2 linked regions of the Rhinolophus ferrumequinum genome follow. Each later gene encodes a partner of the first gene's protein in a complex. Links are inferred from orthologs where the notes say so. Each region holds a gene or a part of one and is shown in the gene's direction. Other genes may lie near its edges. The genes, in order: PPARGC1B and PPARA.

Evidence for each region.
Region 2: the proteins of PPARGC1B (region 1) and PPARA are in contact, whole or in part, in a crystal structure (PDB 3SP6), measured with the Homo sapiens proteins. The link is inferred for Rhinolophus ferrumequinum from reciprocal best matches to the Homo sapiens genes PPARGC1B and PPARA. Residues at the interface, in NP_573570.3 of Homo sapiens: Ser154, Leu155, Leu156, Gln157, Leu159, Leu160, Leu161, Thr163; in NP_001001928.1 of Homo sapiens: Val284, Thr285, Thr288, Glu289, Lys292, Phe297, Leu302, Asn303, Gln305, Val306, Leu309, Pro458, Leu459, Glu462, Ile463.

The regions. Positions count from the first base shown.
Region 1 is NC_046307.1:22,082,017-22,085,917, forward strand, and holds the start of PPARGC1B (peroxisome proliferator-activated receptor gamma coactivator 1-beta), read left to right. Parts: upstream 1-1,239; 5' UTR 1,240-1,842; coding exon 1,843-1,920; intron 1,921-3,901. UniProt on the Homo sapiens protein: Plays a role of stimulator of transcription factors and nuclear receptors activities. Activates transcriptional activity of estrogen receptor alpha, nuclear respiratory factor 1 (NRF1) and glucocorticoid receptor in the presence of glucocorticoids.
Region 2 is NC_046293.1:3,112,574-3,116,474, reverse strand, and holds the start of PPARA (peroxisome proliferator-activated receptor alpha), read left to right. Parts: upstream 1-1,043; 5' UTR 1,044-1,171; intron 1,172-1,315; exon of another isoform or gene 1,316-1,668; intron 1,669-2,216; 5' UTR 2,217-2,369; intron 2,370-2,547; exon of another isoform or gene 2,548-2,898; intron 2,899-3,901. UniProt on the Homo sapiens protein: Ligand-activated transcription factor. Key regulator of lipid metabolism. Activated by the endogenous ligand 1-palmitoyl-2-oleoyl-sn-glycerol-3-phosphocholine (16:0/18:1-GPC). Activated by oleylethanolamide, a naturally occurring lipid that regulates satiety.

The DNA.
Region 1 (3,901 bases):
AGCACTTCACATATGTTATTTCCTCAGTCACCATAATAGCCCCATGCAGTATATAATTCTATGATACGCATTTGTGTAGGTGAGGAAACTGAGTCTTGAGACTAAATGACTTTCGGGGGTTCAAAACCAGGCAGTCTGACTAGAAGGCCCATGCTCTTAACTGCTTGAGTTGCCCAAGACTAGAGGACGATGTGGCAGGGCTGGATCAGCACCCCGGACTCCTGACTCCCAGGCTAATGCTCCTAGGCCAGACGTAGACTCTCTGTTGGAAATCATTGTTCCTTAAAAGTGTGCTGGCCTAAAGCCCAAAGAGTGAAATCACACCCTGTGGTTCTGGGAAGTTCAGATTGGAGAAGAAGGAAGCTCTTGCTCTCGTGTTCAAGTCTGAGCAGGTGTACTGGGACTCTCCCTATTTCCTCCTCTGGCTGGGAGGGTGCCCACGCTGGGGCAGGGTGGGGCAGCCCTTATGAGAGCAGGTAAGGGGAGAGCAGGAGGCAGGCCTGCCCAATAAAACAGGTCTAATTCTTCCCGCCTTCATGCCTTTATCCAGGCCATGCCCTCATCTCCTGCCTGGCAAATTGCAGGCCCTGAAGATGAGAGTTCAAGGCTAGAGTCAAGATGCCTGAGTTTGGGTTCTGACTCAGACACTCCATATGCACCCTGACTCTGGGCAGTTTCCTTATCTATACAATGTTTGGTGAGGGGATCACGATTCTCTGGGTTTTTAGTTCATAAATTATTTATTAAGTACCTACTATGTGCTGGGCACTGGAGACATGACAAGTGCAAAAGCAGATTCAGGCCTTAGTTTCATGGGTCTTGGAGTCTAGTAAGGAGAGACATATGGATCAAATCTTCACTGAAACAAATGTAGAAAGGCACCTGGGGCTAGTGTTTTAGAGGCAAAGCCTGCTGGGCAGAGGGAACCCATGATGGGGGATTGAGAATGGGCTGACAGTCTGAGGGACAGTGGGGGAGGAGGCCCTGAAGATGTGGTTACTAGGTGAATGGAGGCAACACTCAGTGTGTAGAGGCCCATTGAGAGATGTTTAACGGGAAGCCCTTAGGAGCCTCGCTACTTCAAGGCATTGTGGCCCATGGCAAGAGAAGTCATTGTAGTTTTTTGTTTTTGTTTTTATTTTTTAAAGGGTGTAGGGCACTGAGGGAGCCTTGAGAGAGAGAGAGATGGCCAAACTTAACAGAATATGGGTCAACAACACCTCTTTCAAGGAAAAGATAAAAAAATGCCACCCCTTCCAAGAAGCCTTCCCTGATTTCTCCACCTTTGACCTATGGTATCCCTTCTTCTCTGGCCTTGCAGCCCCGGTAGAGAAACTCAAGCCTCCGGGGCAGTCAGATCTTAGCTTTGCCTTTTTGCTATTGAAGTGCACTGTGGCTTCAAACAAGGTCCTCTGCTTTCCCGGGCCTCAGTTTCCCCAGCAGTGCAGAAGCAGGTTGTCTCGAAGGACCCGCCCAACGCTAAGGCAACGTGATTCGCTCTGGCAAAAGCGGGGGGCTACCCGCATTGCTGCGCAGGCATCGGGCTGCAGGCTGGGCACCGTCACCGGGCTGCGGGCGCTTTCCTCCCGGCTAGGGGCTGCCAGCGAGGATCACCGCTCCAGACGTGGCGCAGGAAAGTGGGGGCGCGACTCCCGGCTCGCTCAGGCACCGCGCGGCCCCGCCCCCGCAGCCAGCGGCCCTGCGGCAGCCGGGGCCTGAGCTCCGCCCTCCGCCTCCCGCGGGCCTCGCTCCCTCCTCCCGCCTTCCTCGCTAGCTCGCTGGTTCCCTCCCCCCGGCCCGCTCGGCGCTGACTCCGCGGCACGCTGCAGCCGCGGCTGGAAGATGGCGGGGAACGACTGCGGCGCGCTGCTGGACGAAGAGCTCTCCTCCTTCTTCCTCAACTATCTCGCCGACACGCAGGTACAGCCAGCTGGGGCCGCGGGCCGGGTGCTAGGGGTGCTGAGCTGCGGGGGCTGCCGCCGCAGCCGCGGAGACCGGGAGGCAGCAGTGGGCGCATTGAGGGGTCGGGGGTTCCAGGCTGCAGAGTCCCCCTTCCCTGCACCTTGCGATGTGCTCCGTTAAGGGGGCAGGGAGCTGGAGGTTCCCCTGCGCAAGCTGGAGCGTTGGGGGTGCTACGGTCGCTGGGTAGGGTCTAGCCTCGGTCGCTTGGAATCCGTACCCCCCGCTGGCAGAGCTGGGATGGGGGGGTACCGCGCTTCCTTGGAGAGGCGAAGTCGCGCCAAGGTGTGGGGTACCCTCAGGCTAGCTCTGGGTGCTGGAGGCGCGCCCTCAGGTTTCCGGCACTTGCTGCCGTACTTTCACGTGGACTTGTGGCCCCGGCACAGGCGCCGGCCCCCGTCCTCAGAGTCCCCTCGTCCTCCAGTCTCCAGTCCCCCCTTGGCTCCGCATCGGCTCCATGGCTCAATCGGCGCCTGCAGCGCGGAGTTTGCTGCCAGTTGTCTGCTAAGGGCATAGGGGTCTGAGGGGCACGTGGACATGGCAAGCGGGGATAGCACCTTCCTGGTTTCGCTACCTGGTTGAACCCCCCGGCGGAAAAGCAAGGCAGGATGGGGGACGAAGGACTGTCTGGGGGCGCCTGGGTCCCCCTGCGGCGCGCGGCCCGGGTGCGCGCTTGGCGGTGTTGGGGGGAAGGGAAGGCCAGGCGGCGTCCCGGGCTCTGGTTGCGCCTGGGAGCTCGGCCGGCGACACGCGCGTGACAGGAGAAGGTGCTGTGGTGTGCTGGTGTGTGTGTGGGGGGTACTGAGGGAGCTGGTGACTTGGTGACCGAGGCGAGTGTGTGTGTGTGTGTGTGTGTGTGTGTGTGCTGTTGGGACAAGTAGCTACGGAAAATGCCTGCACTAGGTGTGCGCGCCCCCTACCCCTTCCTTGGGTTTCCCCAGCCCCATGCCTGTTGCAAGCGTAAAGTTTGGCCCCCTAGTTAAGGCTTTTTCTCTGGGCGCCAGGTTGCGGGAAGCCTGGAGGATGAGGATGCGGCGCCGCCGAGTGTGAGATCCCGGATGCGGGCGCACGCCTGGGCTCCGAGAGGGGCCGCCGGGTGGAACCGGGCGCGGCTCGCGAGGGCTGGTTTGGTACCTGGAGTCTGAGTGCCAGTGCCGGCTCGTTTTGCATAACACTGGAAGGGAGGGGGAAGACGGAGGGGGCGGGGGTGGGAGGGCTGAGAGGGAAACTTTGCTTCTTGTTATAATCTGCCTGTCTTTGGGCGGCAGCAGCTGTCATGGGACCGGGTGGGCGGGGAGAGGCTTGCGAGCTGACTCCTAGCCGGGAGAAGCGACTTGGAGGGGACGCGGCAGCCTAGAGGTTCAGCTCCGGGCGGACTCCCGGCTGGCGGCTGGGATGGCGCGGCGTGGCGGGATGTCGCGGAGAGCAAGCCTGCCACACGCGGGAGAAGGCCGTCCGTCGTTCGCTGCAGACGTCCATGCGTCAGGGAGCGGCGGGGCCTCGTGGTCCGTGGCGGGCGCTCTCGGGTGGGTTCTAGGCAGGGGCTGAAGGGGCCGATGGAGTGTGATCGCTCTTCTCAAGGCCGGGGGTGGGGGTAAGTGTGTGCTGAGTGGGCTGCGCGCGCGGGTGTGTATGTTTGTGTGCACACGCTGCGCGCGCCGGGCGCGTACCTTTACCTCTGACGAAACTGCAGTGGAGCTCCGTTGGCGGTCACCGGGCGCCGCCACACGTCCCGACCCCAGTTCTGCGCGGAAGGCCGATCCCAGTCCCAGCACCAGCACCACTACGGTTCCCCACAGCCCCCCACTCCCCTAACTCCCCGCCGACAGCCGGGGACGAGGGGGACTGGGTGCGGGAGGGGCAGAGGTGCCCCTGGGGAAGTTCTGTCCTCAGTCCTGGCGCTTGTCTGCGAATGTCCCCAAACCTTCGACTAAGACGCGGG
Region 2 (3,901 bases), on another chromosome or scaffold:
GTCCTGACGCGCTGGCACCGGGGGCTTTGTGCATTCCCCGCAGGGAGCTCGGGCGTCGTCGCGCAAACAAAGCCGCTTTGCAGCTCTCCCCTCTTCTCACCAGAGGCGGCCCGGCCGCGACCTCCCCCTACGCTGGCAGAGGCCCAGGCCCTCGGCCCAGCACAGTCAGCCCCTCACCCCGACGCACCGCGGGAGCCTGCGCGGCTCTCCGGCATCCTCGGCTGGGGTGGGGGCTGGTGGTGGGAGTTGACAGTGCGTCCCAGCGCGTGTCCGGGTTGCCCTTCACCCATCTCGGTCCCCCGCCCGCCGCCCTCGCCCGGGCACTATCACAACCTGTTTACGCGTCCTCCCAGCTCGCGTTCCCTTTCTCGGACTTTTGCATCCTGAGATGCTAGGGACCGCACCGCACCCGGGGCCGCCCCGCACCCCGCGCACCCCAGGAACGCCAGGGCACAGCGCCTCTGCGAGGTCTAGATCAGTGTATCGTATAGACCCGCAGAGCCCAGCTCTCCGAGGGGGGGCATAGCCAGCGTAGCCTGGGCGCCGAGCGGGAACCTCCACCCGTCTCTCAGCCCTGCGCCCAACCCCGCCTGGACTTCAGCCCCTCAGAGTGCGCGGGGCTGGAAGCGCGCCGATGCCCAGCCGCATACGGTGTCCCGTCGCGACGCCGTACCCGCCCATCCGGTGACCTTGGCAGTCCCTCCGCCTCCCCCGCCTCAGTTTCCCCAACAGTGCAGCCGCCGCCAGCCACAAGGAGGGAGGAGCCGAGAGCGGCCCCGCCCCAGGCCCATGGGCAGCCAATGGGGTGCCGCCACCCGGGGGTGTGTCCGCCCGGGGCCGCGGCTGGGGGCTCGGGGGCGGGTCCAGAGGTTTGGGGCGGGGGCGGAGTCGGGGTTGAAGTGGGGGCCCCGGGGCGGGGCTTCCGGGCGGGCCACCCGCGCCAGCCGCCGGCGCTGCCCGGCCGGGCGGGGAGATCGAGGGGCGGCGCGTGCCGCGGGGGTGCGGCTGGCACGGGCGAGGCAGGCGGCGCCGGGCATGGGCAGGGGACGCGGCGGCCCCACGGCGGGGGCAGCGGGCGGCGGGGGCGGAGGCGGCCGCTAGCGCCCGGCCCGGTGCCGCCTCCCTCGGCGCGTTCGCCCGACGGACCGGCAGGCGGCGGACCCGGCCCCAGGTGCCCGGGTGCGGGTGGGCGCGCGCGAGGTTCCACGGGCCGGGCCTCGGCACCCCGGGACCCAGAGCGGCCGCGGACGGGGGAGGGGCCGGGGCCGGCGGCGCATGCGCGGGACGGGGGCGCGGGCCGCGGGCGCTCGCTGTGGCTGGTGCGGAGGAACCTCGGGCCCAGGGGCCGCCCCCTGCTCCGCCTCCCTCCTGGCACGGGGGCCTGCCCGGAGCCCCGGCCTCCGCGGCTGTCGCTGGGGGCTGTGTGGAGGTCGAGGCCGGGACCTCAGAGACACGGGTCCTCTGGTTGTTTCGCGGGAAGGAAGGCCCACCAGGCGGGACGTGGGGCGCCCTCCCCACAGCGCGGTCGAGTTTGGGCGTCACCGACCGGGGAGCGTTTCCCGAGATTCCCGGGGTTCCCCGAGGCTAGGTATCCCGAGGCCCCAGCAGACTGACCCTCAGGGCCGCGCGCCCGGCGGCTGCGGTCCGGCGGGGGAAGCTCACTGGCGGGTTAGTTCACAGCCCTGGGACACCTTTGAGGAACTGCCTCACTTTGCGCCCGAACGCAGGCTGGAGACCCAAATGGGCCGGGCGAGGCGAGCAAAGGGCCGGCTCCGCCGCGCGACGCCCACCCGAGTCCTGGGCCCCGCGCGTCCGGCGCGGGGTGTCGGCGCCCAGGTCTCCCCGGGGCCCCGGCCGCGCGGCCCCAGGGGTGCGAGGTGGTGCCGGCGAAAGTCCGGAGGGTCGGTTCTGCCCCACGCCCACCCAAGACTAACAGGGGACAACTACACGCCCGTGTGAACCTCGCCTTTTTGAGTTTAAAGGAGTGACGGCGTGCCCCAAATGTCAAGGTTCTTTCTGAGAAAAGCCCATCGTTGTGTAATGGCTTGGGTTTCGCGGGGCGCTCTGGGACCTTCGGGGCTGCGCGCCCACCCCAACCCCAGCCACTGCTCCCCAAACCAGAGGGTACTAGGAGGGGCACAGGGTTTTCCTGGTAGCGACCCTGCCACACCATTTCCTTTGAAGAAGTGGGGTCACGGTGACTTTCCTCTTCCAAGGTGGTGGAGAGCTGGGGAGAATCCAGAGGACACATCGTAATCATTTCCTCCTTTACCTTCTCACTGCCAAGGCCGCAGTTAAAGGCCCTGCCTCCTCCGTGAAGTAACAGTTTGTGGCAAGACAAGCTCAGAACCAAGACGCTGTCATTACAGGTAAATAGAAGGTTTGATTTACTCGGGTTTCCAGACCGAAATGGTTAAGTGTTTACTTCCGTTGCCCTACAGACTAGCCATTTGAGGGTTAATTATTACTTTGTGATGCAACGTTGGATATATTTTTGGTGCTTTGAAAGTAAGATAAATGTGGGTAGATTCCCTTTTAAGTTCTGAAAACTTGCTCCTGTCAGTTTCTCTAGGAACTTCGTTTCTTTATGGCAGGCTGGTTCCATGTACTTGAAAACTAGGTAATATAACAGAAATGTTAGTACTTAACAGACACCGAAGTCACAGACACGGCCGAGAGCAGCATGCCAGCTGTAGCTGCTTTTATTCGAATTTGAATATAAAGCAGATGGCTTGCTGAGATAGTAGTAGCTCAGGTCTAGACCTGCCATCAGCTAGGACAGGGATGCCTGGAGAAGTGGCGGATGGTACAGATTTCGTGGTCACTGCGCATGAGGGGCCAGACAGGGAGCCTGACAACATTCTATACAACTTTGAAGCAAAAGCAAATTAATTGATGGTAGGAAAAATGACTTTCTCTCTTTGTTTATATCTTAGACATATAAGAATCATTCCGTAATCATAAAATAGTTCTTTTTACTAGCTCATGTTTGTCAAACTTGTAAACTGCTTTTTAAACATGGTATGTGTGTGTGTGAGAATGACAGAAGAGAGAAAAAAACGTGTTTTTTCTATATAAGCTGTTTTGTAATCTGCTTTATTAACTATTAGGTTATGACAAATCTTTTCCTGTGTGTAAATTTGTGTTTGATTATTTTCAGTGTCTATATAATATTCTATTGTGTGTAGATACCATAAGTATGTAGCCAATCCATATATAAATGTATATGGATATAGAAATATATACCGTATTTTGCTGTGTCTAATGCACACTCACGTTTTTGGCCCAAACTTTTAGGGAAAAAAAATCGTTGTAATTTTTCAATTCAAATTTTTATTTGTTTACTTTTAGGTACTTGTTTTTTGTATTATAAAGGAATTTTAGCATTTATTTTTTAACATACTGTGGAACAAGAAATTTTGTGTAACAAATAATTACAAAACACAAGAACAGATATAACGTACAAGAAAGTTTATGTACAGGTAACAAATTTACGACATTTATGCATCACAGAAGGCCAAGAACTCTTCGTTGTTGCAAGTTCGTTATAAGTTCAACAAAATTGTATTGCAGGGTATTATGTTGCATATGGATAACGTTATTAATTTCTAGAGTTACACTTTTAGCTTATAAGCATAAATGAAAGAATTAAAAACATATAGATAGGAAATTAGTACTACCCATGTATAATACACAGCCTTGTTTTTCCCTTACAAATTTGGGCAAAAAAATATGCATTATACGTGGCAAAATGCGGTATATATTTAATTCATTCACTCTGTAAATATTTACGGAGTAGCTGCTTTGGGCTGTTGTGTTCAGTATTGACTGAATACGACAGCCATGGATGGCTCATGAAGCTGATTTTAATACCAGAATATAAAAAAGACACTTAAATTGT